Linked DNA regions of Struthio camelus. The protein of the gene in region 2 purifies or fractionates together with the protein of the main gene of each other region. This does not show direct contact. Links are inferred from orthologs where the notes say so. Each region holds a gene or a part of one and is shown on either strand. Other genes may lie near its edges.

Evidence for each region.
Region 1: the proteins of ZRANB1 (region 2) and CTTNBP2NL purify together in Homo sapiens (affinity purification with mass spectrometry; 4 studies listed by BioGRID and IntAct, with this or other methods). This does not show direct contact. The link is inferred for Struthio camelus from reciprocal best matches to the Homo sapiens genes ZRANB1 and CTTNBP2NL.
Region 3: the proteins of ZRANB1 (region 2) and CTTNBP2 purify together in Homo sapiens (affinity purification with mass spectrometry; 3 studies listed by BioGRID and IntAct, with this or other methods). This does not show direct contact. The link is inferred for Struthio camelus from reciprocal best matches to the Homo sapiens genes ZRANB1 and CTTNBP2.
Region 4: the proteins of ZRANB1 (region 2) and STRN4 purify together in Homo sapiens (affinity purification with mass spectrometry; 4 studies listed by BioGRID and IntAct, with this or other methods). This does not show direct contact. The link is inferred for Struthio camelus from reciprocal best matches to the Homo sapiens genes ZRANB1 and STRN4.

What each region holds. Positions count from the first base shown.
Region 1 is NC_090965.1:9,366,290-9,373,981, forward strand, and holds the start of CTTNBP2NL (CTTNBP2 N-terminal-like protein), read left to right. Parts: upstream 1-4,684; 5' UTR 4,685-5,422; coding exon 5,423-5,497; intron 5,498-7,532; coding exon 7,533-7,640; intron 7,641-7,692. UniProt on the Homo sapiens protein: Regulates lamellipodial actin dynamics in a CTTN-dependent manner. Associates with core striatin-interacting phosphatase and kinase (STRIPAK) complex to form CTTNBP2NL-STRIPAK complexes.
Region 2 is NC_090948.1:4,424,994-4,432,397, forward strand, and holds the start of ZRANB1 (ubiquitin thioesterase ZRANB1), read right to left. Parts: upstream 3,004-7,404; 5' UTR 2,763-3,003; intron 1-2,762. UniProt on the Homo sapiens protein: Ubiquitin thioesterase, which specifically hydrolyzes 'Lys-29'-linked and 'Lys-33'-linked diubiquitin. Also cleaves 'Lys-63'-linked chains, but with 40-fold less efficiency compared to 'Lys-29'-linked ones.
Region 3 is NC_090942.1:28,493,227-28,500,969, reverse strand, and holds the start of CTTNBP2 (cortactin-binding protein 2), read right to left. Parts: upstream 3,004-7,743; 5' UTR 2,674-3,003; coding exon 2,605-2,673; intron 1-2,604. UniProt on the Homo sapiens protein: Regulates the dendritic spine distribution of CTTN/cortactin in hippocampal neurons, and thus controls dendritic spinogenesis and dendritic spine maintenance.
Region 4 is NC_090957.1:1,875,632-1,883,170, forward strand, and holds the start of STRN4 (striatin-4), read right to left. Parts: upstream 3,001-7,539; 5' UTR 1,925-3,000; coding exon 1,389-1,924; intron 1,250-1,388; coding exon 1,176-1,249; intron 1,071-1,175; coding exon 992-1,070; intron 898-991; coding exon 724-897; intron 1-723. UniProt on the Homo sapiens protein: Calmodulin-binding scaffolding protein which is the center of the striatin-interacting phosphatase and kinase (STRIPAK) complexes.

The DNA.
Region 1 (7,692 bases), on a different chromosome or scaffold from region 2:
GGGGAGTCTTTTGTTGAGCTCATGCTCGTAATGATTCTATTAAAAAAAAAAACTGCAGTTCCTCTTTCGACATTTTAGTTTTATTTTGTGGCTGCTAATCGGAAAAATGTTCCAGGCTGGTATTTCTGAAAAATCAAAGCTTCCATTCAGCCACTTGGTGGTATTCAGAGACTTCCGAGTATAGCGTCACCCGCTTTTCTGCACCGTGCCTTTGAGAGGGCTGTTTCTGTGTGCGTGGAGAGCGGTGAGTGAAGCGTAGTAGAAGCTCTCTGACACAGGAGGGAGCTGCAGTCCCACAAACAAGAAAGATGTTCTAAAATTCACTCCTTTTTTAAGTTATCGTAATTCAGACAGCCGGATGCTGTTCGGCCTGGCCACAGGGCAAGCAATCAACTAAAATTAGCTGGAGTGATCTGGGACTGCAAATATCCACCAGATACCCACTGCTGTCCTGATTCACACCTACAGGCATTAGCTTCATTTTTTTAAAGTTTTGGAAACATTGGACTTCAGAAGCTATTGACTTCTTATCCCAACCATCTGCACTTTTGCATTGGCTTTAAGTTCATTTCAAAATACATGTTAATTCCAGTGACTTGCAAGTATGAATCACCAGGCTGACACTAACCATTAGATATAATTCTCATAGTCTTTCCCCTTTTTTTCTGAAGCATGGCTTTTTCCAGTGAGATGACTTGCTGTGCCAGTTCATAGCCCAGACCTCCCTGGCAGGCTGCGCGTCCTCACTCACAGGATGTGGTGAGCTGTCAACTTTTCTGTCCAACTTCCTTCATGTACATGACAGAAGGACATCTGCCCTAAAAAACATATTCTAAGGGTAAAGAGAGAGACAACAGGTGAAAAGCACAGAGCCAGGAGAAGCACAGGGTGAGAGAAAGTGGATTGTGATTAGGGAAAACCTAGAGGTTTTAATGTAATAGCTGCCTGGCAATAGGCACGATGATATGCGCGTCCTAGCAAAGTTAGAGAAGGTAACCCATCGGCTTTCTTTACTCCAGGCTCTGAGACTGCTAGAGCAGGGGCATGGCGAAAATTCCAGTATTTATCAAGGTTGGGAAAAAAATCCATAGTACTCAGACAACTCCGTCTAGACAAAATCATATTGTTCTGAACATACTAGACAGGAGACTGTGACAGTTAGAGGTTTTATTGCTAGCCATGTCACTGTATAAAGTCCTGCTACCACGTGACACCTTTTTTTTTTTTTTTGCACGATTCAGAATTTTCTGTTTTAGAAACTGCTAGTTTCTTAGAAAATGCCAGCGTCACACAGCGCAAGCCCTGTGCTGCAGGCATAGCACCCCCCTGAAGTCAAACTCTAAGCGGCAGGAATGGCCGTTAAATACTGTTGTCAGTTCTGGGGCGCCTGCAGAAAGGGGCACACTACCAATCCCGAGCACTTCTCGTAGGAAGTTCAGGGACCGAGCGATTTGGCGCGTTCTCCACCAGAAGGGCCAGCTCTGATTTCGGCTGCCGCGCCGCTGAGCAGCTTCGGCAGCCAAAACCTGCTTCCCTCAACAGCGTCACGCGGCAGTGACCCCGCTCTGGCCAGGCAACCGCGGGCTGCGGCTGTTCAAGCAACAGTTGCTGATACCTGCTGGCTTCTTTCCTCGTTCGATAGGTAAAGAGGTGAAAATACACTGGGCTGCCCAGCGCGCGTCCGCGGATTACCTGGCTCGGCCGACGGTGTCAGGGCACGCGAGGTCGGCGCTGGCGGAGGAGCTGAGAGAGGCAGGCAACGCGCTCCAGCCCACGGTCGCGCCGGGTGGGTCACAAATATATATGAGCACCTTCAGGCAAACCGCCGGCCTAGAAAGTCAGGGAAACTTCATGTTTTATTGAAACTAAGGCTTTATGTCAGCTTCCTCGTAAGCGGCCGTGCCCTCCTTTCCGGACGCTTCCGTGGCGCTGGGAAGAGGTGCTTCCCTCGGGATTTCAGAGGCAGCGGAGGTGACCGGAGAGGAACAGAGACACCCGCCTCCCTTCCTGCCCCCGCGCTAAGCTCCTCCGTGGCCGGGCGCCCGCTCGGCCCGCGTCGCGCTGAGGGGCGACCGGACTCGTCGGGGCTGCACAGCCGACCTGCGGCGCTTCTCGCCCGCCCACGGGCGCAGGCTGCGGCCAGCAGGGCCCGGCCCCGGGCACAGGCCCGGCAGCCCCCCCGCGCTGGGAGAGCTCCGTTTTCCCCGGGACAGCGGCTATTCACAGGGCGCGGCGCAGGGGGAACGCGGGCGCTGGGGGTCGGGGGGCCGGGGGGACACGGCCCGCGGGGGGACACGGCCCGCGGGGGGACACGGACCGCGGGGGGGGGGGGGGCAGGGCCGCCGAGGGTCCCGCCCGCCGCCCCGCGGAGCCCAAGGCCCGGCTCGCAGACCAGGCCCGGGCCGGCTCCATGGAAACGGGCCGGGGGCGGCACCGGGCCGCACCCGCGGCCCCACCCGGCCCCGCCCGCGCCGGAAGTGACGCGCCAATCACGGCGCCGCGCTCCCTCCGCCGCCGCCGCGAACAAAAGGGATTTGCAGCCCCCGCCCCGCTCCCGCCTCGCCCCGCCCCCGCCGCCTGATTGGCTGCCCAACCCGCCGCCGCCACCGCCCGCCGGCCCACGCCCTGGCCCCGCCCACCCCCGCGGCGGATTGGGCGACGGGCGAGGCCGGCGGCGGCGCTGATTGGCGGCTGCGCCGTCCTTCAAAAGGCGGGCGCCAAGGGGCGGGCCCGGCTGGATGGGCGCGGAGCGGCGCGGAGCGGCGGCGGCGGCGGAGGAGCCAGAGCCAGGTCGGTGGCGGCGGCGGGGCCGCTCGGGGGCGGGGGGGCGGCAGCGGCTTGGCCCGGCGGGGCCGCGTCCGTGTCCGCCTCCTCGGCGCGGCCGGGCCGGGCCGGCGCCGCCCCCTCGGGCGGGCCGCGGCAGGTGCGCGGGGCCCGGCGGGGCCGGGCCAGGCCGGGCCGAGGGTTGCGGAGCCGCCGGCCGGCCGGTTTGGGGTGAAACTCGAGGCTTTCGGCGCTGTCGCGCCGCCTCGGGGTGAGCGTCGGCCGCCGCCGCTTTCGGGGGCGCCCCCGGCCCCTCCCTGCTCCGGGCTCGTTTCTGCCCTGGGCCCGGCGGGCGGGCAGCGTCCCGCCCCCGGGGTTCGGGCTTTGGCAAGGCTTTGGGTGCGGGCTTTAGACACCCGCCCCGTCTAAAGCAGCGCTTGGATAAATACTTGAACGCGGCGGGTTTGGGGGAGTTTCCTTTCTTCGTGCTCGTCGTTGTGAGACGCAGAGATGGGGGGGGGGGGGTTCAAACGCTGCTCGTCTGAACCTAAAACCTCTACGGTTTTGATACGGTGCCAGGCAGTGTTGTGAACGCACGGTTGCAAGGTGTGTTTTAGCTCTTTATTGTATAAATGCGTTGGGTGTAGTTATTTTAGCAGCTTGTTTGAGCATTGCACACAACGCCTGCAGCAGATCTCTGAAGTTCTGCGCTGGGAGGTTTTCAGGTTGGGCTCTCGGAGGAACGCGGTCGCCTGAAGGTATCTGCTGGACGACATCGGCTGCCCTGCAGGGAGACAACGTATGGAGCTGGTTCAGGGTTATAGAGACAGAAGCGTTGTTGAAGCTGCACAGTGGTAGGCAGGGCACGTGAAGGGAAAGGAGATACCCTCCTTCAGAGGCAAAATAGCCAGTTATGCTCTACACAATGAGGCAAGGAAGTGGAAGAGATTTGGGCCAAGCGCCTGCAGATATCTTGAAGCTTCGATGCGACGAGCGCTCCTGTTTGTGCCTCCTGAGCTGAGCGTTTAGGCTCCTCTGTTTAGCGCTCGCCATGTAGTAACCCAAACCTTCGCCGAAGTCCGTGGGTCGAGCGCTCTCGTTGTGCTGGCAGAGCTGGTTAACTTGGTTTGTGTGTTTGCGTGCGTGAGTCCCAGCAGCATGCCATCTCTGATGGTTTCATAATCATCACAGCACGATTCAGGGCACTGAGGAAGCGTCGTAGTCCAGAAGCTTATCACTTTTTTTTTTCCTGTTCTTGAAGTGGCGCATGCCAAAGATAGCTTACCCTGGTGTGTTTGCTTGTATGGTTGTACTATGCTTAAACTACTCTTGATATTTATTAAATACTTGGAAATAACTTTATAAAGTTTCATCCTTTTCATGGGTGAATATGGGTCTGTTGAGGAGAAAAACTCTTTTAACAGTTAGTAGCGCAGATAAAAGGAAGTTTACCTTTAGGCAAGCAGTAAGTAATTATCTTTGTTTATGCTCTAAACGCTTGTTTGTTGTCCAAAAATGGTGGTATATCTCAGACTCAGGGAAAATATTTATACCATCAGACTAAATAATGACGGCCTTGTGGTTTGTGATCTGTGCATGATTGGACCAGTTAGGATATTTCACTGAATGTGAACTGGTAGTATGCCTTGGATGTTTCCAAGTCTTGTTTACAAGCTGTGAAACTGTATCTCTTGTTTAGAGGTTCTTAAATAATGGGCTGTTTTCCCCAGCTGACAAGTGCAGATCTGCTTGGCAGAGTGGGACTGTTTGCAAGGGGAAGAACTGGCTGGATGAACGTGGTTGGAGTGATATTAAAGAGAAATGGGAAGGGAGAAGGAGTAGGGGCACCTGATGGGAAAGAAATCTTGGAACCTGTGATGTTTAAAGGCATGGAAGGGATTTGGGTTTGGGTAGGGAAGGAGGAACTTATAGGTATGTGGTTATTGGCTCTCTGATTTGGAGTTGCTTGTTGTTCTTGCAGAAATTATAATCTAGAATGAACAGAGCTGCCTTTTTCCTACATTTGTCAGTTCTCTAGTATGGAGTGGCTGTAGAAGTGAGTGCTTGATGGTTACAGATCCGCTATAATGGGTACAGCTTTCCTGTAGCAGGAGGTTGCACGCAATGTGACTGAGGCTTTACCACTTACTACTAGTGTTTTAAGGTGGGGCTTATTTGTTATGAAGCTGATTTGGGCTCATACACCTAGAAATGTGTCTGAAATGGCTTATTCCTTTAGCACCAAGGAGGCAGAAGTCACAATGTAGTTTAGAATATAAAATCGAAATGGTTACTGCCTAAACTAATTGCTTTAAAATATTGAACTGCTGTAGGTAGCTGTCCCTGCTTTAAGAGTGTGCCTTTTGGTAGCTAATGGGGTGATGTAGCTGCAGGGTTCCATGTTGTCTTCATTTGAAGAAGTGCAGACTTTGTTCGTCTTCAAAATTTACTTGTACAAGTGTATACTTAGCTTATATACTTTAAGAAGTCAAAGAAAAATTCTCATTTTATTTCTAGCTTATAACACTGCAAAACTAGTAACTTAATGATTATCTGGCAAAAAAAAAAGAATTTTGCTACTTCCCAGAAATACTGATTCAGTCTTAGCTTCTGTGAATGTAGTCTGAGCAAGACCTGAACTAGTGTTTGAAATTAAGCCATGCATCTCCCAGGCAGGTGTTCGGATGGTCCAGATATTTTAAATATGTCCAGGAAAGTAATGCAGCTCTTGACTGTAAGTACCAACTTAAGCATGCTAAATGTTAAAAGCTAAAAATAGGCCTGCTCTTTTCTCACTCTGTATGTTTGTTTATGTGTGTATGTATATATATATATATATATACAAGTGCATATATATATAAACAAATATAAAAACACTTGTTTCTTCTATTATGGTGTCTTCCTTTATCTGTAAGATGGATAAGCTGTAAATCACTCCTGTGCTGTAGAAAATGAGATCTTAGCTAGCAGGCTTTTCGGGGGGTGACAGACCTGTTGACAGAAATATCCACAGACGAGGGAGGCTGTGTTCTGGGTCCTCAGCACCTGTCTGTAAGGCTGTTCCCGTGGATTTAAAACTGTGGCTGTTACTGCTGAACAGTGACCAACGCTGCAGTGTCCCACTGAAAAGCGATTTGAATCGGTACAGTGAGTTTAAGTTAGACTCTTGTGTTAGTTCTTGACCAGGCTTTTTTTTAAATCTTGGCAAATGCTTATGGATTTACCAAGCAGTTTATAGTCACGCATTTTCCTCTCAAACGTAAGTTAATGGCTCTGCAGGAGAGAGCATACACGTGGCGCTGGCACATCTGTGTTGTCCTGTTATACTGGTTTTCAAGCGACTACAGTATCTCAAACAATCATGATTGTTTTCTGTTAAGTTCCATTTAATGGTCCGTGCCAATGATGAGGCTATCCAGAAAAATCAGTAAGAAACACTGCTGCTTCATGGAGCCTCCGGTAAAAACCTGCATGGAGCAGGGGCACGACTGCGCGATGGGGGACTTCTCCAGTTAGCGTGGGGGTGCAAAATGGACTTCAAATTTCTCTTGCTGTGCGAAGGCTACTTATTTTTTTCTGCAAGCAGAACTTTCTGTTCCCAGCAACTGGAAAACTGCTTTGGCATAAACAAGACAGAACATGCATTTGTGCCTAATTCTCCAGAGGCACAGTTATGCAAATCGGTTGTAAAGTGGTAGTGACTTCAGAAAATTTGGAATTCAGTTGAATGTTTTAGCTGGATACGTTTCTTTAGTAAAAGTTAATTTAACCATTTATCTTCTGTTGGTAAAGTGGAGTTTAGTATTACTGAATGGCTTGTTCATCCTGTAGTATTTTAATTGACATTAATAGCAGCAAAAGATGGATGTGAATTGGACTAAGGAAAGGCATATTTGATTATTGTCTTGTGAGGCACAAGACTCTCATAATGGGGTATATTTGCATTGGAGGCTTGGACTTCCTAAAAATCGATGAAATGATTGCCTTTGTTAATAAAATAAAAAAATAATGTAATACAGAGGCTTATCACTAGGTCATATTAAGTGTATCAGTGAAATAAGACAAATTAACAAGCTTTCTGTATGCAAATGTCAAATGAAGGTTCTTCATTCTGAGGTGGACAGTAAAATTATATTTCACAAATGATGGTGATATTGAATCAGATTGAAAGAATAGTAATTAAACGTGTGGGGTTTTGGCATTGATTTTTTTTTTTGTAAAATGGTTTGGGCCTGTTCCATAAGTAATGCATAATGACGTTCCTAAAAAGCATTTTGTAGTGCTGAAATGTTAACTTAACCATTACATTTGTGGAAGATGGCCCAGTTTAGACTGCATTAATCATTGTTCTTCAGTAGTGGTTTTAAAACTTGAACATGTATGCCTGAACTGAGCACGTGAATAAGTTCAGTGTGGTGTTTGCAGCTGCGTGATCCAGATGTGTAATCCAAATTAGTATGGCTTTTAAATATCCATATTTTTTCCTCTCCTGTTAACTTTGGCTACTTCTCGGTGAATATTGTACTGTCATTTTAGCCCTTACTTTCTGGTTGCACCATTCATGACCCCTTGGGAAAAGGTGGAGAATGAATCTTCTGCAGTTTGTCTTGGAGGTTAAAGAGAAAATGTTTGCATGGTGTGTTCTGCCCTTCCCTTCAGGACAAGCTGCAGTGTGAAGCTGAAGTTAAAACAGAGATTATATGTTGTAACTTAGTATATGGATTCCAATACACAGATAAATACTCAGTAAACGATTTTCTATTTTTCAGATTTTCAGGATGAATCTGGAAAAACTCAGCAAACCAGAACTACTGACGCTGTTTAGCATTCTTGAGGGAGAATTAGAAGCAAGAGATCTTGTCATAGAAGCCTTAAAGGTATGTCATACCACGATAGAAACAAAAATGGCAACAGTATTACTACAGGTTC
Region 2 (7,404 bases):
TTTTATCTTTTAGTTAAGGTATAACAAATCCCATCCAACTGACATTACAAAGTTATAACCACTGCTCTTTAACTTGGCTTGATCACACTATGACTTTTGACAAGTAAAGCAGTAAGCTCTTCGTCGGCTGTTTAAGCAAACATCGAAAGGAAAAAAAGGTATTCTCATTTCAATTTTCCTTTTTTCCTTCTTCATCTGTACCGCTGAGAAAAATTTAAATCAAGAACTCTTATTACAGCTAGGTCTGCCATTTTCAGCTGCCAAACTAAAGTTTAGTTGCATTTTAGCAACAGGAGACTGTGAATTGTAATTAATTCAGTTAAAGTGGGGATTACTTGTTGACATACATTTTGAATAGCTCAAAATAACAAATTCTTTAAAAAATTTGGGGAGGGGGGACAAGGGGACGTGAGACTACCAACAGAACTGGTCAACACAAGAAATCTGTACCAGCAGCTTAAACGCTTTACTGTCACTAATATAATGTCACAACAGGAAGAATGTACTGCTCTGAAGTTCTGCAGAATCTCAACTCAGTGCAAAACTGATACGGCAAAGAGAAGTTGGAAAGAGAAAGCTAACACCTAAGGTAACATCGCCTTAAGGAGCTAGTAAATTCCACATTACAGTGCCTGAATGCCTATCTGATTATTTGACTGCATTAAAAATAACTTCTCATATAATCAATACTTCAATGTACTTTCTACTTAAACTTCTAATGTATTTGCAGACCTCACTGTCTTGCAGTGAGCTCCAAAGAGGGATGGGATTTCTCCCCCCCCCCCCCCCACCAAAGGAATTTACATCCTGAATAATGCAAGACTAGAACGGCCATACGCAAGACTGAAAACGTCACCCTGACCAATTTTGTGTTTTAACTAGTCTGCAATTTAAGCTATGCTTCTGTGATGAATACCATTGATGCTTTTACACCACTCAGTGTTCAAATTAAATTAATATTTCTAACTACTTCTGAGAAAATGCTAAGTGAGACAATACAATACAATAACAGACTACAGTTTGAATAGTCATCCCCCTCTCCCTGTCCTTATTTAAAAGTCAGGAGAAAAGTTAAGGTAATAAACCTTTTTTTCTCTTCAAGAGAATTACACCACATAATTTAAATTTCACAAATCCTACAAAACACAACTGATCCAAAAGATGATTTCCTGTTACTGCTGTGACAGAGTTAAATCAAAGTCATCTTTTACATATGAAATGCGAGACTCTGCATGCTAAAAGACACCAATTCAGCCTGGCCTGAGGAAGCAGACAAATAAAAAAGAGTTCCAGAACACTGCCTGCGGCTCACCTGTATCCCTGCTTTGGGCAACAACTGAAAAAAACAAAAACAAAAACCAAAACCAGGCTTCACAAACCTCTTCTGCAGTCACGGAAGGCAAAATATTAGATTTGCAGAAGGAAGAGCAAAATTAAGTGTGACAAATCCCTCCTGAACCACTGTTACAAGGTTCTGCCTACATACTAACAGAACAAGCTTTATAGCAGTATGCATTAGGGAAATCAACAGGAAGGGAAGGTATTGCACACGCTACATCTCACCTTTCAATTTCTGCATCAACAAACAGATCAACCTGTTAAATCATATGCCAGTTTCACTGCTTGCAATGCGTTAGATAACAAAACAGCAGAGACCGTCCAAATGCAGCCTGTCAAAAAGTTTTGTTTACAATACCCATTCCTACGAATTTTAGGAAAAGTTTTCTTCACTGTTATCACTAAAAGGCACCCGTGCTGGTAAAAAGGCCCTAGCAGCTGTGCTGCATCTGCCAAGCAGGAGACCCAGATTAATTTTTCCCATCATTCACCCAGCCCCTCTGCTCCGGAGAGGGCAGCGACTACTCCGGAGAGGCAGCAGCGCGTGCAGTCCAGGCTGAGGGGTGGAAAGAGCACCCCTCGCCACGCAGAAGGCGCTGCTCCGGCTCCGCACAGGCACCTCCGTGACCTCCTCGGAGAAGTTTACCTCGTCCCGACAGGAAGTTGCTGCAGCGTGGGAGCACGAAAGCGGAGCAGGGTAAAGACGCTGGGAGAACGGACTAGCGAGGCTTACCTTATTTTCTTTTATCGACTTGATTTTCTTTTTTAAAAATACAGTTCATAAAAAAACAAGCTCGAACCGGGAATCCTTCCTATGCCGTACTTCATTCCTGATCAATACGCGATATCGCATGACAAACAGTATCGTGGAAACTGTCGTCCAAGATACGCCAAACGCAATCCAGTAGTTCACAGCATCTAGTCTACTACGGTATACAGATCGAGGCAGACACATGTCCAAAAACATATATATGTATATATATATATATATACACACACACACACACACACACACACACTAAGGAAAATCAACTCTTCCCCCCCCCCCCAAAAAAAAAACCCACCACCACAGGCGGAAGAAGTAGCAGGCAACAGAGGTATGATCTCACTCCGGTAATCAAGGTACCGCAGCGCGGAGAAGCAATCGCAAAGGGGGGGTTGGGGGAGAGAGAGAGAAAATAAATAAATAAATAAATCAGAGTCACAAGAGTTTCCTGCCTTTGTACTGAGGCTGGCGCTGCTTTAACGCAGCTCTTCAGGCGCCTCTTTAGGACAACCGGCAGGTTGTCCCCGGCTCAGGGCCGCCGCCACCGCCGCCCCCCTCTCCCGCCGCGCAGCCCGCCCCGCTTACGGCGACGGCGCAGCGGCAGCCGCGGGGCCGCCGGCCGTTCCCCGGTACGCGCCGTAGGGGAGAGTGGCTTTACCTGGCCGCGCCGCCGCCGCCGCCGCCGCCGCCGCCGGGAGCCGTCCCTCAGGCACACGCTCGGCGCTGGAAGCAGCCCGCGCCCCGCGCCACCCCCGGCCCGCTGGCTGCGGCGTCCTCTCCCCGCTCAGGACATGGTCTCTCCCAGCGCGGCGGGCTGGCGCGGCCGCGGGCGCGCCCACTCGGCGAGGCCGGGGGAGGGGGGGGGGGGAACCGCTCGCCCCGCTCCCCGGCCTCCTCTAATGGCGGCGACTGAAGCTGCCCAAAGCAAAATAAACCCCCATACGGCAAAGAGACCGTACGTCACCCCAGCCTGCCGCCCTGCCCCGCGCTCATTGGCGGAGCCGCCGCCGTCCCCTCCGCCAATGAGCGCGCGCCTCTTTGGGAAGAACGGCTGATGTCATCCTCGCCGCGGGGGCGCCTTATTGTGAGGGCGCTGCGCCTCGCCCCGCCCCTCGCCGGGCGCCGCGGGAAGCCCCGCCCCGCCCCGCGCGCGAGCACCGCCCCCCCTCCCCCCCCCCCCCCCCGCGGGGCCGCCATCAGCCCCCGGCTCCCCTCAGACCCCCGCTCTCCTCAGCCCCCCTCAGCCGTGCTCGCCCCAAGGGCCTGGTGATGCTGTCGTCCATCCCTCCGGGCTGTAGCTTCATCCCAGCACCTGCCTTTTCCCCCCTCCACAAATTTCCCTCCGTGGCGGGGCGCAGGTGGACGGCGCCGGTCGGCCGTGGCCGACGCCGCTCCTGCGGGGAGCGGAGGGGTCGCGTTAAAAGCCGTAGTGAGATTGTTTAGTCTGAAAGGGCGATAGGTGGACACTGAGTTTCCCAGGGGAACAGTCCCTCACCACGAGCAGCCTCTCAAAAGTACCGGGGCCCAGGCTGCACCTACCCCAAACTTCACCCGACCCCGACCAATTCTTTCAGTTACCGCCAAACGAACCACCTCGTCGAGGGCCTCCAACAAATCAACCATCACCTCAGCATGCTTGTTGTACCCCTTCCCGCTTCAGCGGGGTAAACGCTATATATAAGCATTAACTCTGGCCAGCAAGACCCATCCCTCCCTCCAGGGGAAAGGGCGACCCGCAGCCTAAACTCAGCCCTCGGCCCGTCCGCGCTGCCCTTTCTCCGCTTCCCGCTCAAAGACAGGGGATCCGTCCCCGCTCGCTCGTCCAGCGCAGAGAAAAAGGCCCCTGCTGTGCTGCGGCCGAGCCGCGGCTCTGGGGAGACGCTGGCAGAACCCCCCTGCCCAGCCGACGTCCAGCCGGCCCTGGAGTCGGGACGAGTCACATTAAACACTTAACGGCGACTGCAAGAGAAATTTGTGCCCGTTTACCTCCCCCCTCCCCTCATTTTTTTCCCCTGATGTTTGCAGAAAACTAATTAAATTGTGAATGCGATTTGTCTTTCTCAGAGAGGTTATTTACTAAATTCTCTTCCTGTCGCCACTGAACCACTCGGGCCCCACAGCCTGCATTTTCAGAAACGCACCAACAGTTAAATATATTCAGCTGCAGCAAATATTGGGACAACTGCATCTTCTTTCACACACCCACATGTAAGAATGTAAAAAGAATATTCCTTATCATAAACAATCATGCCATCTTCATGATTAGGAAAAAAAATCAGAAAACGTGTCCCTTGTTCTTATCATCTAGGCAAGATGATGGAAAAACGGTCATCTAGGCGAGCAATAAGTGAAGTGGTAAATCCTAAACGCCACTACAACTGTTTAACAATGGGAAATTACCACAAATAACTGTTATAGATTAGACTTAATAAAACAAGAGATGAAAATAAAAGGAATGCATAATCTTGGAGAAAATATCACTTCAAGTTCATCTAGAATATTTCCTAAATCTGTCAGGAAGTCATTTGATGTTCATTGAAACATATTTTAAACAAAATACAGTGCACTGCAACACATTAGGAGGGTGTAATATAAGTTTACAACGCAGGAAAGAGGTTTAATGGTGCTAGACTCATATCGCTTCAAAGACCACTTTGTTGCAAAGGAAAGAAAAATTACGACCAACTAAAAAAAAGATACTGAAAGAATTTTAGAAGCAAATGATTTCCATATCTGCATAGTAGTTTTGCAGAATAGAAACATGCCAGGTAATGAAATAGGTATCTGTTGTAACATATAGTATCTATATAGCATATGAAGGGAAACATAAATGGTAAAACGGAGTTTGCAAATAGTTATTGGAGCTGTTACATCCAGAATTCGCTTTTGAAATTATCTCCAAATCACAAGACTTTAACTTTACGAGCTGTAGCTATTGACAATACTATTCCTCAAACCATCTCTTTGGCTTTATGTCAAAAACCGTTAGCATCTTCTGCTGGGTTTACTTTGAAGGAATTTGCCATTTCTTCTAGAGTTTAAACAACAGAATACAACAGGAATGACCTTTCAACAGTTTAGAACATCGATATTTACACATATATGTTATCCAGTAATAGCTCTCAGGCTTACAGTTTGGAGGAAAATCAAAATCTATGTGAACTGATAGTTCAGTTCTCAATAGATCTGGTATTTGATCATCTTTATTCTTTTTTTAATAGCAGAAAGATAATTCTATGTTTATGACAGGCAGCAGAAACTGTATGCAAGTACTAGTTTCATATATTCCACCCAAAATTTTAGTTTCATTCCACCTGCTTAAGGACAAATTTTAACTCCCTAGTAATGAATTTGGAACATTCATATTAGTTTGGCAGATTCGTATTTTATTTTAGGAGCTCTTTTTTGCAGAGATGAATTCACTCATGCCTTGGACATTATTTGCCTTTACTAACTGGGCATGTAAGAAATGCAATTGCCCTTTGTGACAGAGTAAACCTGTAGCAAAACTATGCACCCTTATTCACATGTAAAAATATAACTTGCACATATATATCTTTCAGCTTTGCTTTTTTCCCCGCTCTTCTGACATCTTCAATCCTTGTTCCTCTAATGCCCACTCTTTTTTCCCCACTATCCCCAACTCTCATAGGCCTCAGATCTCTTTTCTTTCCTTCCAGTTCCGCTAGAGTAAAAAGAGCTTGTTCCTGGCTCTGGAACAGCTCAGAAAAATTTAGATAGTAAATCTTTTTTTTTTTTTTTTTTTTTTTTAAATCAGAACTCACAGATTTTCAGAACATCATACATGAGAAATAAAATTTCACAGAAATAGCCCCAGAACCCAGATCAGAAATCCAGCTGGTTCCTCATCAGCTTGTCCACCAGGTCTGTGCCAGCCAGCAGCTGCACCACCAGCCAGGCTGCCTGACGTGGGAACCCTTTGTGCCACTAAGGTGTCAGCCTAGCTGGCAGCCAGGTAGGCAGATGGCTTGGTTGTTCCCTTCCTTTTTGTAAAGGATTGGTGAATTTAGGATTTTTTCAGAACAAACCAGCTTCAAATTGTAGCTATCTCCTATTAAATGAGAGCATGCTGCACCATACAGCCTTATAAAATGCCCTATTTCTTCTCTCTTGGTGCTCACTGTTAGTAAGGTTTCTATCCTCAAACCTCCCTGACGTTTCTGTTCTGATTCACCCTGTTCACAAGTGAGCAAATGATACAAAAAGCTATAATTAGAAGGAAAGCATTGAAACATTTCACAGTAGCATGCAATATCTGGGGGATTCGGTTAAGCAAAACTGTCCTTCAGTTAAGCAAAAAGACAAATGCCAAATTGTTTCATGCTAGCACACAGCATTGTACTGCAGCAGAATTGTCTCAGCCCAGGTGCAAAGATTACATCTAGCTAGTGATAGATAATTACAGCTCTCTCTCTTATGTAATTCTCTTTACCCTGGTAACTACTCGCTGTCAGGCAGAGCACTGGCTCCCATTAGGCAATTCCTCCTCAGCTTATCCGAGAGCAGAGACGTACGTGTCCGCCAGATGGTTATTTCTCACTAGCTGAACTTTGAATACGCAGAACTCGCTACCCAGGCCAACCCCTTCAATCCTGCTCCTGCCACAGCTTTATTCAGTATTTTCAGGCTATTTGCAATCAAGAAAGACTTACAACTGAACTAAACACTTGCCTAAAGGGGAAGGAAAAGACATGCACAAAAATCCAAAGGAAGCACAGCTGTTGAAACTACTGAAAACAGGGTATTTTAAACAGGTGACTGCTTTGTTACCCTTTTACCACCTTCCCTCCAAGTCAGCCCCAGCCTTCAAGGCCCAGTAAATCTCATATATTTGTAGTTCTTTTCTCCATTTTAGCATGAAACATAAAACATTCGACGATAGCTGGATCACTATACCTCCTATTCAGGAGAGGATCAAGTCAGAGAAGACATAATGCCCTGACTAAACCCAGCCTCCCTTGCGGCAGCAAGCTGGGGGTTGTTACAGGCAGTTACCCTGAGACCTGCAAGAGAGCCTGAGACATTCCCAGCAGGCCTGCGGCCCCTGAAAGGAAGGCAGGTTCCTTCCCCGTGATTTCCACAGGCAACCAGCTGTGGGGGCAGTTACCGACCTCATGGCTGCATCCAGCGGGAACTGTTTTTGCTAATCCTACCCGTTCTATCGGCTCAGCTTTTAGGTACCTCTCAGAAAACATCCTTCAGGAAGTATTTTCACAGTCACAAGTTTTCTTCTGGCTTCCCTAGGGACTTTGCTCTCAGAAGTGATGCCAGGCATGGCA
Region 3 (7,743 bases), on a different chromosome or scaffold from region 2:
CAGTAGCAAAAAAAGCCTTATTGTGCAGTAATGCTACTTACAGACGTAATCAGAACAGCATTTAGTATGAGGAAATCCTACTGTGTTATATTCCTCCTACTTACACCACAGTATTTCACACAATAATATATTACTATGACAAATTATCGTTCCTACAGTTTTTCTCTGCACTGTTTGTGCATTCAGGGTTCTGAGAATTAAAAAAAAAAAAAGTAAAAGTGTATTGAAAATAAAATATTTCATTATAAACTTAAGTTTAGCATTACTTACAAAATAGTCACCTAGATGCTTACTGTAATCCTGACAGCAAGTAAGAGGATTCAATTCCTAATTTTGTATTGAGTTTGAGACAGAAAATAAGCTATTCAAAATAACCCTTCAAAAGGCACGCTAGAGTATTGTATAAATATTTTTTAAAACCTTTTAATTGCATAGAAGAGTTCTTTTTACTCTCCCATACAAGAAATAAAAGGAAACAAAAAATCTAAAGTTTATACCAGCAGGGAAAAAAAGATGACAAGGAATATTAAATATTTAAGGATTGAAGGCAAATTAAAAATAAAAGTCAGCTTTTTAAAAATATTGTCATTGCTTAAGTACAGCTATTACTTAAGTTATAGAGGAACACAGAGGTTATTTTTAAAAACTAAAGGGATACTAGAAAGTATTTCTAAAAACAGTGTGCAGTGTAGAGCTATCGCTCCTACCTTAGACAATGAGATCATCAAATTGCATAGGTGGCTTACACTGCATTGCCTAAAAGTGCAACATTAGATAATTACTTGTTTCTGAGCTATTGTTTTGAGTTCTTAAAACTAAAACTTAAGATGAGTATACTAAAGAAATTACATTATAAATGAATTGTTGCTCAAAATTCATCTTCCAAGTATTTAATATTTTGCTTTTATGAATTTTCACCTTAATATTCAGTTATATCACAGTTAAGTCGTTGTTTTTAAAGACAGTGATGTTATAAATATTCATCGTGTAAGGATTCCTTTTTTTCTTTAAAGTAAAACTCAATTTTTAGGACAACAGTCTGGAATTTAAAGCACAAAGATGATTAAGTATACAGTTAGAACATGGTTTCAGAGAAGAACTAGTGCCTGTTTGAAAGAAAATAAAGCAAATATTAACAATATCCTCAATTTCACAGATACTAGTACCATCCTCCCTTCTTGGGTCATTACCTTCACAAATAATTGGACTTGATTATTTTATTATCCTAAACAATGTGTTTCGTTACAATGAAAAGCATCTACAACCCTTGAGAATACAGCCTGACAGTGGACTTCGCCATCCAGTTCTCAACGATAACTGTCAACTGGACTATTAACACAAGCTGATTAACACCAGACAATCCACAAGCAAATGCCACAGATGTGACTACAGCAGATCTGGGATGCTCCTCTGTGGGTACAGAAGAGCATGGGGGGGAGATGGCGCTGCAACCGCTCTACCCTGTTCGGGGTCACTGGACAGGTGAGAAGCCAGGATGAACTAAACGAGTGGACACCTGAGCAGGCTAACTTCTGCTCTCCTGCAGCTCGATTACCTGAGGAGCAGCAGAAAGAAGCCTTATCGCTTGCCAATTTACGCAGCGGAGCAAAAGGCTCCGCTCAAAGAGTTTACACGGACGGGCACCACATTGTGTCTGTCTTCCCTCAAGGTGTCTCAGCACCTGCGGAGAAAGACATAACGTGGGTTTTCTGCTCGGGTGCTGGGACTTTCTAAGCAGGGAGCCAGCTCTGCCCCTAAGGCAGAGCCCTGACGGGGTGAGGGCCGCCGGGCCCCCACAGCCACGCCGTGCCCATGTCCACACACCGGGCGGACAGCGAAGGGGCGCTGCCACGGCTCTGGGAACGACCAAGGAGAGCAATAAGACAGACACGGGGAGAAGGGAGCGAAAAGGAAAGCTCGCTGCTGCGGGATCGGCCGCCCGGCGAGCATTAAGCTCAGCCGTTTCCCCCGCCGCGGGCTGACAGCTCCCACCGCCCCGGGCGCTGTCACCGCCTCAGCCCGCCCGGGGAGAAGGGGCGCAGCCCCCCTCGCTGTGGCAAGCGGCGCAAGGCGGGGGGGTGGGGGGAGGGCAAGGCGAGATGGCAGCGGACGGAGCAGCCCCGCGGGCGCCTCGCCCTCTCGCCTTCCCCCCCCACCCCGCCCCCCGACGCCCCGTCACCCTGCCCGGCCAGCGCCCTTCCCCGCCGCCTCCTCCGTGCCCCTGGCGGGCGCCGCGCTCCTCGCCGCCGCACGCCGACCCCGCGCCGGGGCAGCGGGAAGGAACAATGGGGGGAGCCCGTAGGGGGCTCGGGGAGAAGGGGGGCAGCTGGCGGCAAGCAGAGCACCGCACCGCCGCCGCTCCGCGCCCGCGGACAGGCATCCCGCGCCCCTCTCTCTTCTCCTCTCCCCCCCCCCCCCGGGGCGGGACGGGGCTCGGCTGCGGCGGGTCCGCCGCAGCCGAGCCCCGTCCCGCCCCGGGGGAGAAGGAGGGCGGAGGGAGGGAGCGGGGGAGGCAGGTCTCCAAGCGCTGCTTCGTCCCATCCGCACAGGAACCCTCCTCGCCCCGGCTGGGTCTAAGCCCCCAGGCCCGCAAGAGCCGGTTACCGCTGCCGTGGCCGCCGAGTCCTCCTGGCCGCCAGAGCCCGGCTGGCCGCTCGCGCCTTCCGTCGCCATCTTCCCGCTGTAACGGCTCCGGCGCGGAGCGCGGAGCGGAGCCGAGTGGCAGCCGCCGCCGCCGCCGCCGCCAGGCGCTTAACCCCCTCCCCGCCGGCACCAAGCCCACCGGGAGCGGGGCGCTTAACCCCTCCGGCGCCGCGCCTCACAGCGAGAGCTGCCGAAGCCCAGCCTGCCCCGTCTGCCGGCCGAGGCGAGCGACGCGCGGAGTTGGGCGACGGCGATCCAGAGGCGCTCGGGTTTCCCCTCCTTCTCGCCGCCACCCCCCAGCCGCCACCAGCCGGCCCCGCGGCAGGCGGAGGAGGGGCAGCGGGACCCCGCCGCGGCGGCGGTGGCGGCGGCGGCGGCGGAGGGGAGTGCCCAGGCCCCGCGCAGCGCCGCGCCCCGCTCCGCTCCGCGCCTCTCCCGCCCTTCCCGCCCCTGCGCCTGGGGAGTAGCGGAATGAAAAGAAAGGAATGGGAAGGGAGGAAAACAAAAAAAAGAGCTTTTGCAATGGGCTTGGCTCACCTGCCCAGTTAGATCCTTAAAGCAGCTGAAGTGTATTGGGGAAGGGGACCTCTTTACCGATACCCTTTTCTTTCTGGTGGTGCTGACTGAGGGAGTTCACTGGAAAGAGCACCTCTCCTCAGACCTCCCGTGGAGGGGCGGGGGGAGCACATTTCGGCTGACAGACCTTGCTTAGTCCTGTATTTTCCAGCGAGGCAGGCTTCAGAGCCTGTGTTACGCTGGACCTTAATCCAGGCCTAGCACTCTGGGGCCAAGTTAAAACCTTCCTGTGCCAGACAAGAGCGCACCCGGGCCTGGCAGTGCCCTTTGTCTTTCTAGACCAGTACCTGCCTCAAAGCTTGCTTGAACTCCTCCCCAGAAAGGTTTTCACTTGCTACCCACCTAGGCTGAACCGCACGTCCCCCAGCAGCTGGAAGGGGTGTTTCCCGAGGACTTGCCTCACTGCTTTTCTCCCACTCTGGGACCCCACCTAGCTAGCCATATACCAAAAACAAAACTGAATGTACCTTCCTCTAGGACCAACTCAAATCCATTCTAAACAGAATCCAGGACATTATTTATTCTACAGTCATACAACTTTTCCCACTGAGCCTTGCTTGTCTCCATGTGTACTAGGGCTGCTTCAGGTCTTGGTCTATACTCAATTCTTGGTCTATACTTGGTGCAGACAGAAAGGGACCAGCATCTTCCCTTCATTAAAGACAGCTAATGGTCCTCCAAGCATGCTGTACCTAAGGCTGTTAAGTAAAAACATGCATGAACTTTCCCCTTTACATACCCATAAGACAAACCAATGATAAACTGATAGAATGAACTTCAGCTATAATGGAAATGTTCACTGAACAGAGTGAGCAGAATTCAGTACATAGGATCCGTTACAGTGCAGATAAACTCCAAACAAATAGATGCGTTGTTTTTTTTTCCGGCATGAAAACCACCTAACTCTCTTCCTACTCAAGTTTTACACTTTTTTAACTATACTGTTTGCTAACATCCCTTCCACTGCTGAAGTTGAGAAACACCATTGATGGCACAGAGCCTAAACTGGCTTATTTTTCTCAGTTCCCCAAACTCAAATACCGTGTAATTGTTTTTTAATATAAATTTATGCTTGCTTACTTTATTGATGGCATGAAGTTCTAGGAGCATGTCATTAAGAAACTTAAGGAAAAGTCACTTATCTCCTATGCACTTTCTCATACTTACTCCCCTCCAAATGGGTTTTAAACACTATAGTGTTTTGAAATGGTTTGAGAATATCTTTTCACTTATTAATTCCTATCTACATTTATCATTTGCAGTATTTCCCTGGTATTTAACTTTTGTTAGAATCATCTGCTGACCATCACAGTAACTAGACTGCCTTTCTAACTGAGCTAGTACAAAGCATTCACATAACATCCTGTGTAAGTGCTATTTTTTAAGTCCGTCTGCATCACATGAGTGATGAAGCAAAGGCTGCACTATTTATCTCTTGCTCTGCTGAGACCATAAACTCTGAGGTTTAGCTGATATTTTATCAATTACCAAGTGAACATTTATCAAAATAATAATAATGAATATTAGATTAGTCATAGCTTACCATCTCAGGCTTGAGAATTGATCTCTCTTTCCTCATTTGAAGATAAATTTAGAAATTATTTCTGAGAGGGAAGGGGGAGTAAGTCTCAGATCTCAGCCAGCAAAAATTAATAGGATGGATGGACCAGGAAGACTTCAGCTAAAAGCCCGCCCCCATACAACTAACATCCAGCATATCATCCAAGCGTTGGAAGTAGTTTGACTTGCTGTTGTGGCAGAAAAGATCAGAGGCTTGCTTTTGAAGGAGGAATGATCTAGATTTCTTCTTTATGCTGCTAAATTAATCATCACACCATTTTGAAAATATTATTGATTTTTGTTATTGTATGAGCCTCTACTGCGTGTTTGTAATTCTTAACTTTTCCCCCCTAATGACAGCAACAAGGCTTACTGGTGGCTTGAGAGCACTGAAATCCACATTAGATATTACTAATCACTGCTGTGAGCAGATTCTCATGCTGGGTAGCAGTCATTACCACATTGTCCGTGATGGCGGCTGGGTGCAAAAGTCTGACGTTCTGCTGCATGAAGAACTCCTTCAGGCCCAGGACCATCTCTAACGTAAGAAATATTCTCCCCTTGATTGTTAACAATGTGTTACTTATTCTCTGGCTGCTCTGTTTATGCTACTGCATCCTCTCTTTCAGGACTGGCTTTACACTCTCAAAAATGTAGCATCTACGCATATAATATATGAGTTTGGAGAGATGGTCAGCCCAACTTGGTGACTGTTCCCATAATGCACTGTCATTGCTATGGCTGCATGCACAGTAAAATGTCTCTAACACATGGCCAAGCTCTAACACAGAGCCTTGCTGGCAGGAGAAATTGCCTGTGCTTTGACAGACTATTTTCTTCTATTTTATGACTACATTGAAGCAAAGGAGGTGCTTTTCTCAGAGGAAGGTGTTCCCTATTTTAGTAGTAGCTGGTAGCTGGCAAACTGAAAATAACTAACTCTTTCTCTGCTACTCCCAGTTTTACTGGGATTGAGTGACAGAAAGGAACGGCCAAGCCTAGGAGTAGGCCCTTCAGCTGAGCTTTAAATATGTTTCTTTCCTATGATTAGAGAACTGGCACGCAAAGGTGGAATGTCCACATGTTACAGGATGCAGCTGCTGTACCGAGCAGTGTGCTCACTCCCTCCATTAGCACGCAACTGCTGTGATAGAAAATGTATGGCTTGGCTTTACACTGGCAGGGAAGCAAATTGCTTTGCATCTAAATCATACAGTATATCGAGGCCTTGCCATGTTGTTACTAACTATTCTTATAAAACAAAAAATATCGAAATGGTATTTTATTCACTGTTTTCTAAAGATAAACCTGTGTCTGAGTGTAAAGCAAGTAGGAGACATTGAAGCCAAAAGGTAAATTTTTATGGAAAATGAGGTATCTGAAAAAACTAAGCAATCATTATATCACTACAATCTTTTCAAAGGTCACCCCAGTGCTAACTGAAGGCATTTCTTCTATCATCACCCTCATCTAGGGCTAATCAATCAAATTTATACAGCATAATCCAGATTACCCCATCAAGGAAATTTGGTGTTAGAGATTTGTAAGCAATACAGAAGATTCTGACAGTGAAACATTAGCTTGGGTTTTGTGAAGAAGGGGTTACTTTTTTTGGAAGATGGCACTATACGGTCTGGGTGAAATTCAATAGAAAGAGGATCAATATTCCACAAGGCATGTTTGTTGTTTCTGAGGATGTTAAAGGAACATCGAAAGGGAAGGTGAAAAGGAGATATAAAATTATACTGTTGAGAGCAAAATGGACTCTCCAGTGGGCATCAATAGAAGAGATGCTTTAACTGACTATGCACAAGGAGCATAGATAATAAATAACAAGTATTGGAATTATTGATTTGTGAGCATAAATTCAACAGTGCTGAGTATGACTATAACTCAGTGATGTGATTCACATGATTTGAATGCTGAAAACTGGTTATAATCTGATTAGAAAAGCACAAGTGGACAAAAAGAAGGGAAGACACTCTATTAAAAATGGTATTTTGTGTGTCAGCATTACTGACATCTCCCAAACAAGTTATGTTAATGTTTATGAATTGTATTTTAATATTTAAAGCATAAAATGAAGTATTAGGTAGTGTCTAATCTATGGGAGCAAATCTCCCATCATACTAAAGACCAAAGATCTTTAGCATCTTTAAGCAAGATCCTTAAGCATCTTTATAGAAAGAGAAAACTGCTATCAATGTGGCTTTACCTTGAATGACACAAAATCTCTTTCTGCCAATACTATAACATTCTAGAAATGTCTAAAAATTACAAGTGACAATTCAGGAAGTTTACCTTGAGCAGGAGGATTCTGAATGAGACTTCAGTTTAACACATGGAGAGGGAAGCTAGATCCAGCTGGACTCTTACACACCTAAAACTTGACAGTTTGCTATGCCTAACTTCTAGAAATCTGAGCCCAAAATAGAATCCAGAGCCTGAAAATGGGTACTGTCTTTGGATTTAAAACAGCGTTTAATTTGGAGGAGTCCTATAGTCTGTGTTATGCGAAAGAAGAGATCACACACTGATCTTCTTGGCCTTGAAAGCTATAAGCTTCTATTAAGCTATCAATATATTTCAAGTCTGGAATAGTTGGATTCTTGATTGTTTTCTTTCTGTTTCACTATGGGAAGAAGAGGAGCTATCCACATTTGCTGTCAAGACAAAAAAGGCGGTACAGCATTTTAAATTCCTGAAAGGTATAGAAGAGTTAACATTTTCAGACCAAAAATATTTGAAAATGTTCAGAAGAAAGAAACCTCCTATCATTTCTCACTCTCACTCATCTTCTCCTGAAGTCTGGGTACCAGAAAGGAATGTGAAGTAGATCCACAAGTGAAAGTTAACTGAAGAAATAAAGGTGCAGGAATCAAGAATTCTCAGAGCCAGTTTTCATGAGCAGGCATGATGACTAATCTCCTTTTACAGGCATCAGCACTTCCAGGCAAAAAACGT
Region 4 (7,539 bases), on a different chromosome or scaffold from region 2:
CGGGCCGACCTGGAGCCCCGCCCCCCCCCTTCGAGCCAGGTTGAGCTGGAGCCCCCCCCCTCCGAGCCAGAGCGGGCTGAGCCAGACCCCCCCTCTCCGAGCTGGAGCAAGTTGCACTAAGCCCCCCCTTCTCCGAGCCGGAGTGGGCCGAGCTGGAGCCCCCCCTTCTCCGAGCCGGAGCGGGACACACCGAGCCCGAGCCCCCCCTCTCTGAGCCGGAGCGGGCTGAGCCAGACCCCCCCTCTCTGAGCGGGAGCGGGCCGAGCTGGAGCCCCCCCTCTCCGAGCCGGAGCGGGACACACTGAGCCCGAGCCCCCCCTCTCTGAGCCGGAGCGGGCTGAGCCAGACCCCCCCTCTCTGAGCTGGAGCGGGCCGAGCTGGAGCCCCCCCTCTCCGAGCCGGAGCGGGACACACCGAGCCCGAGCCCCCCCTCTCTGAGCCGGAGCGGGCTGAGCCAGACCCCCCCTCTCTGAGCCGGAGCGGGCTGAGCTGGAGCCCCCCCTCTCCGAGCCAGAGCGGGCTGAGCCAGACCCCCCCTCTCCGAGCTGGAGCAAGTTGCACTGAGCCCCCCCTTCTCCGAGCCGGAGCCCCCCTCTCCGAGCCGGAGCCCCCTTCTCCGAGCCGGAGCGGGCTGTGCCAGAGCCCCCCTCTCCGAGCCGGGTTGAGCCGGAGCCCCCCCCCCGAGCCAGAGCGGGCTGTGCCGTGCCGGAGCCCCCCCCTCACCTCTGAATCTGCTCCTCGATGCGCCTGACGAGCGGCGAGTCTCCGCCGCGGAGCGCCGGCTCGGAGCCGTCGGCGGCTCCGCTGACGCCCGCGGAGCAGCGGCCGAGCAGGGAGCGCACGCGCTTGGAGCGCATGTCCAGGACGGTGTCGGTGTAACCCACCTCCTCCAGGTACCTGCGGCGGCGGAGCTGAGAACGGGCAGCTCGGGACAGCCCGGGGCAAGCCCCCCCCCCCTCAAATATCACCCCCCCGATTTCCCGGCACTCACTGCCGCAGGAGCTGCCGTCCTTCCTTCCAGGCCGAGGGGCTGCCGTCCGGCGCCGCCGCTTCCGCCGGGCCGTTGGCGGCTGGGAAAGAAGAGGACGGAGCGAGGGGAGGGCGACGGGGGGGGTCAGCGCGCCGGAGAAGTGGGGGGGGGGGGGGGGGGGACGAGGCTCCGCCGGCTCCCTCACCCGGCTCCGCCGCCTCCGGCCTCTTCTCGCCCGGGTTGAGGTCGGTGCCGAATTTCAGCTTGTGATATTTAGACCTGGGGGGATTTAAGGAAAAAAGGGAGGGGGTTAAAAAGAAAAAATAAAACACACGCGTGCGGCACAACCGGGATTTTCCGCGTCTTCCCCTTCGGGCCGAGGCTGCGCCGGAGCCGCCTCCGCGCCGCCCTCTCCTACCTTTCCTGCTTCAGGGCGTATTCCAGCATTTTTATCCGCCGCACCAGGTCCGTCTTGAGGTTTTCCTGGCCTTTGCGCTCGCCCTGCAGAAAGGCCACCTGCGCCTGGCGGGAGGCGAGGCCGCGCTGAGCGGGGCCGGTGGTGCGGCGCCGGTGGTGCGGCGCTGGTCGTCCCCCCCCCCGACCCCGCGTTCCCGGGAAAAACAAAAAAGACGGGAAAAAGAGGGAGCTGCCGGAGGCGTCGGGCTGCGGGAAGGAGGAGCGGAGAGGAGGCGGCCGCCGCGAAGGTTGCAGCGCTGCCGGCGGTACCCGGAGCGCTGCCGGTGGTACTGGGAGCGATGCCGGTGGCGTGGGCAGCGGTGGTACCAGGAACGGCGCCGACGGTATCAGGACTGCTGGCACCGGAGTGATGCCGATGGTACCGGGAGTGATGGTACCAGGACTGCTGGCACCGGAGTGATGCCGATGGTACCGGGAGTGATGGTACCAGGACTGCTGGCACCGGAGTGATGCCGATGGTACCTTAAGCGCCAGCATCAGAGCGATGCCGATGGCACCAGGAGCGATGGTACCAGGAACGGTGCCGATGGTACCAGGACTGCTGGCACCAGAGCAATGCCGATGGTACCGGGAGCGCCGGCATCAGAGGGATGCTGATGGCACTGGGAGCGATGGTACCAGGAATGGTGGGCACTGGGAGCGATGGTACCAGGAATGGTGCCGATGGTACCAGGACTGCTGACACCGGAGCGATGCCGATGGTACTGCAGGCACCAGCATCAGAGCGATGCTGATGGTACCGAGAGTGACGGCACCAGGAACGGTGCCGATGGTACCAGGACTGCTGGCACCAGTGACGCCGATGGTACCAAGAGCGATGGTACCGGGAATGCCAGCATCAGAATAACGCCGATGGTACCAGCAGCGATGGTACCAGGAATGCTGACACCAACAGCAATGCTGATGGTACCAGGAGTGCTGGCACCAGAGCGATGGCACCGGGAACTGTGCCGATGGTGCCAGGACTGCTGGCACCGGAGCAATGCCGATGGTACCGGGAACGACGGTACCAGAAACGGTACTGGTGGTACCAGGACTGCCGACACCAGAGCAATGCCGATGGTACCGGGAGCGCCAGCATCGGAGCGATGCCAACAGCACTGGCAGTGGTGGTACCACGAATAGTTCCGATGGTACCAGAGCGACGCCAATGGTACTGCGAACGGCGGTATCGGGAACGCCAGCATCGGAGCGATGCCAACGGCACTGGCAGCGGTGGTACCAGGAATAGTGCCAATGGTACCGGAGCGATGCCGATGGTACCGGGAACGGCGGTACCAGGAACACCAGCATCGGAGTGATGCTAACGGCACTGGTAGCGATGGTACCAGGACTGCCGGTACCAGAGCGATGCCGATGGTACCGAGAGTGCTGGCACCGGGAACGGTGCCGACGGTACCGGGAGCACCATCGGGGCGCAGGGGAACAGCCGGTGCTCCGGCATGGGGCAGCTACCTCCAATATTGGGGGGGGGGGCCCTGATAGCAGGGGACCCCGTTACCGGGGTGGGGGTGGGGTCTCCGTTACCATGGTGCCTGTTATCGGAGTGGGGGGGGGCACCCTGTACCCCATTACCGGGGCAGGGGGGTCCCCAATACCGGCACACAAAGGCAGCGGGTCCCCCCCAGACCCTGGGGCCTCCCAGTAACATGCCCCCCCCCCCGCAGCCACACAGCCGGTTCCCAGTGCCCCCTCCCCACCGGTGTCGGTTCCTGGTTCACCCCCAACCCACCCAGTACCGGCTCCCGGTGCCCCCTGGTCCGCTCCCCCCCCCCGGTGCTGGTTCCCCCCCCCCTTCCAGTTCCCCCCCCCAACTGGTTCCCTCCTGGTGCCGATTCCCAGTTCCCTCCCCCCCCTCCGGTTCCTGGTCCCAGTTCTCCCCCTGCCCCGGTGCCCAGTTCCGCCCCGGTCCCGGTTCCCCACCCCCAGTTCCGTCCTGGTACTGGTTCCCTCCCGGTTGCCCCCCGGTGCCCGGTTCCCGGTTCCTCCTCCGTTCCGGTTCCCGGTCCCGGTTCTTCCACGGGGCCCGGTTCCCCCTCGGTCCCGGTTCTCCACCCCCAGTACCGGTTCCCTCCCAGTACCGGTTCCCCCTGGGTGCCCGGTCCCGGTTCCCCACCCCCAGTTCTCCCCCGGTACCGGTTCCCCCCCGGTGCCCGGTCCCGGTTCCCCACCCCCAATTCCCCCCCGGTCCCGGTTCCCCCCCCGGTGCCCGGTCCCGGTTCCCCACCCCCAGTTCCCCCCCAGTCCCGGTTCTCCCCCGGTCCCGGTTCCCGTTCCCCCCGGTGCCTGGTTCCCCCCCGGTGCCCGGTCCCGGTTCCCCACCCCCAGTTCCCCCCGGTTCCGGTTCCCCCCGGTGCCCGGTTCCCCCCGGTCCCGGTTCCCCACCCCCAGTTCCCCCCCGGTCCCGGTTCCCCACCCCCAGTTCCCCCCCGGTGCCGGTTCCTCCTGGGTGCCCGGTCCCGGTTCCCCAGCCCCAGTTCCCCCCCGGTTCCGGTTCCCCCCGGTGCCCGGTTCCCCCCGGTGCCCGGTTCCCCACCCCCAGTTCCCCCCCGGTACCGGTTCCCCACCCCCAATTCCCCCCCGGTTCCGGTTCCCCCCGGTGCCCGGTTCCCCCCGGTCCCGGTTCCCCACCCCCAGTTCCCCCCCGGTGCCGGTTCCCGGTCCCGGTTCCCCCCGGTGCCCGGTCCCCCCCCCATCCCGGTGCCGGCTGCCGGTCCCGCCCCCGGCATGGCTCCGGGCGGCCATTTCCTCCCAAGATGGCGGCGGCGGCAGCAGCAGCGGCGGCTCCGGTACCCCCGCCCCCCCCCCAGCTCCCCCGGTACCGGCGCCGCTACCTGCAGCTCGGCCCGCTCGGCCTCCCAGCGGCTCTTCTCGGCCTCGAAGCGGGCCCACTCGTGCTGGATGAAGTGCAGGATGCCGGGCAGGCTCAGCTCGGCGGCGGCGGCGGCGGGGGGGGGCGGCGGCGGCTCGGGGGGGGGCGGCTGGGCCCGCGCCGCCGCCCGCTCGGCCTCCATCATGGCTCCCGCCCGCTGCCACAAAGGGAGCCGCTGCCCGGGGCCGCCCGCCGCCGCTTCCTGCCACAAAGGGAGCCGCCGCCGGAAGTGACGTCGAGAGGCGCGCGCGGGGAGGGGAGGGGAGGGGGGAGGCGGCGGCGGCTGGCGCGGGGGGGGGGTGGTTGAGGGCCGGTTGCCGGGGCAACGGCGCCCCGTGGTACGGGCGGTGCGGGGGCTATGGGGGGCTATGGGGGGGTATGGGGGGGTATGGGGGGTATAGGGGGTACGGGGGGTATAGGGGGTACGGGGGGTATGGGGGGGTATAGGGGGTACGGGGGGTATGGGGGGTATAGGGGGTACGGGGGGGCGCGGCGGGGTATGGCGGTCACCGGGGTACGGGGCGGTGCGGGGGCTATGGGGGGCTATAGGGGCCACGGGGGGGTATGGGGGTATAGGGGGTACGGGGGGTATAGGGGGATATAGGGGGTACGGGGGGGCGCGGCGGGGTATGGCGGTCACCGGGGTACGGGGCAGTGCGGGGGCTATGGGGGGCTATAGGGGCCACGGGGGGGTATGGGGGCTATAGGGGGTATAGGGGATATGGGGGATATAGGGGGTACGGGGGGTATAGGGGGGTATAGGGGGTACGGGGGGGCGCGGCGGGGTATGGCAATCACCGGGGTACGGGGCAGTGCGGGGGCTATGGGGGGCTATAGGGGCCACGGGGGGGTATGGGGGCTATAGGAGCCACGGGGGGGTGTGGGGGTATAGGGGGTACGGGGGGTATGGGGGATATAGGGAGTACGGGGGGGCGCGGCGGGGTATGGCGGTCACCGGGGTACGGGGCGGTGTGGGGGCTATGGGGGGGCTGTGGGAGCCACTGGGGGGTATGGGGGATATAGGGGGTACGGGGGGGTATGGGGGGATATAGGGGGTACGGGGGGGTATAGGGGGATATAGGGGGTACGGGGGGGGCACAGCAGGGTATGGCGGTCACCGGGGTACGGGGCGGTGCGGGGGCTATGGGGGGCTATAGGGGCCACGGGGGGTATAGGGGGACATAGGGGGTACAGGGGACTATAGGGGGATATAGGGGGTACAGGGGGGCACAGGGGATGTGGCGGGGTATGGCAGTCACTGGGGTATGGGGTGGTGCGGGGGCTATGGGGGGGTTATAGGGGCACAGGGGGGGTATAGGGGGCTATAGGGGGTACGGGGGGCTATAGGGGGTACGGGGGCCGTGGGGGAAGCGGCAGGGTATGGCGGTCACTGGGGTACGGGGTGGTGCGGAAGCTATGGGGGGACTACAGGGGCCACAGGGGGGTATAGGGGGGCCACAGGGGGGTATAGGGGGGGTACAGGGGGTACGGGGGGGCGCAGGGGACGCAGTGAGGTATGGTGGTCACCAGGGTACAGGGTGGTGGGGGGGCTGTGGGGGCCACAGGGAGGGTATAGGGGGCTATAGGGGGGTATGGGGGGCTATAGGGGGGTATAGCGGGTACGGGGGGCCATAGGGGCTATAGGGGGGTACGGGGGGCGCGGGGGACACAGCGGGGTATGGCGGTCACTGGGGTACGGGGCAGTGCAGGGGCTATGGGGGGGCTATAGGGGCTATAGGGGGTACGGGGGGGCACGGGGGACGCGGCAGGGTATGGCAGTCACCGGGGTACGGGACGGTGCAGGGGCTATGGGGGGGCTATAGGGGGTATGGAGGGTTCGGGGACGCGGCAGGGTATGGTGGTCACCGGGGTATGGGGTGGTGTGGGGGCTATGGGGGGGCTCTAGGGGTATGGGGAGCTATAGGGGGCTATGGGGGCTATAGGTGGTATGAGGGGCTATAGGGAGCTATGAGGGGTACGGGTGGTAGGGGGGTGCTATAGGAGGTATGGGGAGGTATAGGGGGCTATGGGGGAAGAGAGACACGGGGGGGATTTGGTGATCACCAGGGCACGGGGCGGTGTGGGGGCTATAGGGAGGTACGGGGTGGCGGGGCTGTACGGGGGTCTATAGGGGTGTGCAGGGTCACGGAGGAGCGGGGGGGTAAAAGGGTGTGCGCACGTGTAGACAGGTGTGTACAGCGGCACGCGGAGGAATACAGGCGCGCCTGGGCCGATGGATGTGTCCAGCGGTACGTGGAGCGATGCAGGTGCGGGTGTATTGGTGAGTACACCTGCACGTGGAGGTATACAGGTGCGTACGCGGCTGTATAGGGCTGTACACCGGCACACGGAGGTAGACAGGTGTGCATGCAACCATATAGCTGTCTATACTGGTACAGGGAGGTCTACAGGCATGCACACAGGCGTATAGGGGTATACACCAGCCAGTACGTGGAGATATACAGGTGGGCGCACGGTCGTAGGGCTGTGTACACTGGCACGTGGAGGGGTACAGGCATGCACACAGGTGTATAGGGGTGTACACTGGCACATGGAGGTATAGAGCTGTGCGCACAGGTGTATAGGGGTGTACACCAGCACATGGAGGTATACAAGCGTGCACACAGGGGTGTAGGGGTGTACGCTGGTACATGAGAGATACAGGCATGCGCATGGGTGTATAGGGGTGTACAGTGGTACGGGGAGACGTACAGGCGTGCGCAGGGTCATATAGCTGTATGCACTGGTAATGTGGAGGTATACAAGCGTTCGTATGGGTATATAGCTATGTACACTGGTACATGGAGGTGTACAAGCGTTTGCATGGGTGTATAGGTGTGTACAGTGGTACACGGAGGTATACAGGCACGCGCACAGTCGTATGGGGTGCACACTCATAGAGAGACATACAGGTACGTGCATGTGTTTGGCTGTGTACACACGTACACTTAAAGGGCTCGAGCATTGCTATCGCTTGGTACGGTGTTGCTAGGGATGGGGTTGCTGTGGCAACAACACCCTTCCCCTCCCGTCGCCGTGGCCATTCGTGTCCCAACGCCGCGAAGCCTCAGCTGGGAGCGCTGCTGCCTCTGAGGCACCTGCGGGCCCCTAACAAGGAGGGGGTCGCTAACGAGGGGGGGTCGCTAACGAGGGGGGGGGTCCGGGCCCTGCCCCTCCCCTCCCTGACGCTCCTTTTCCCTCCTCACAGCGCTGCTACGGT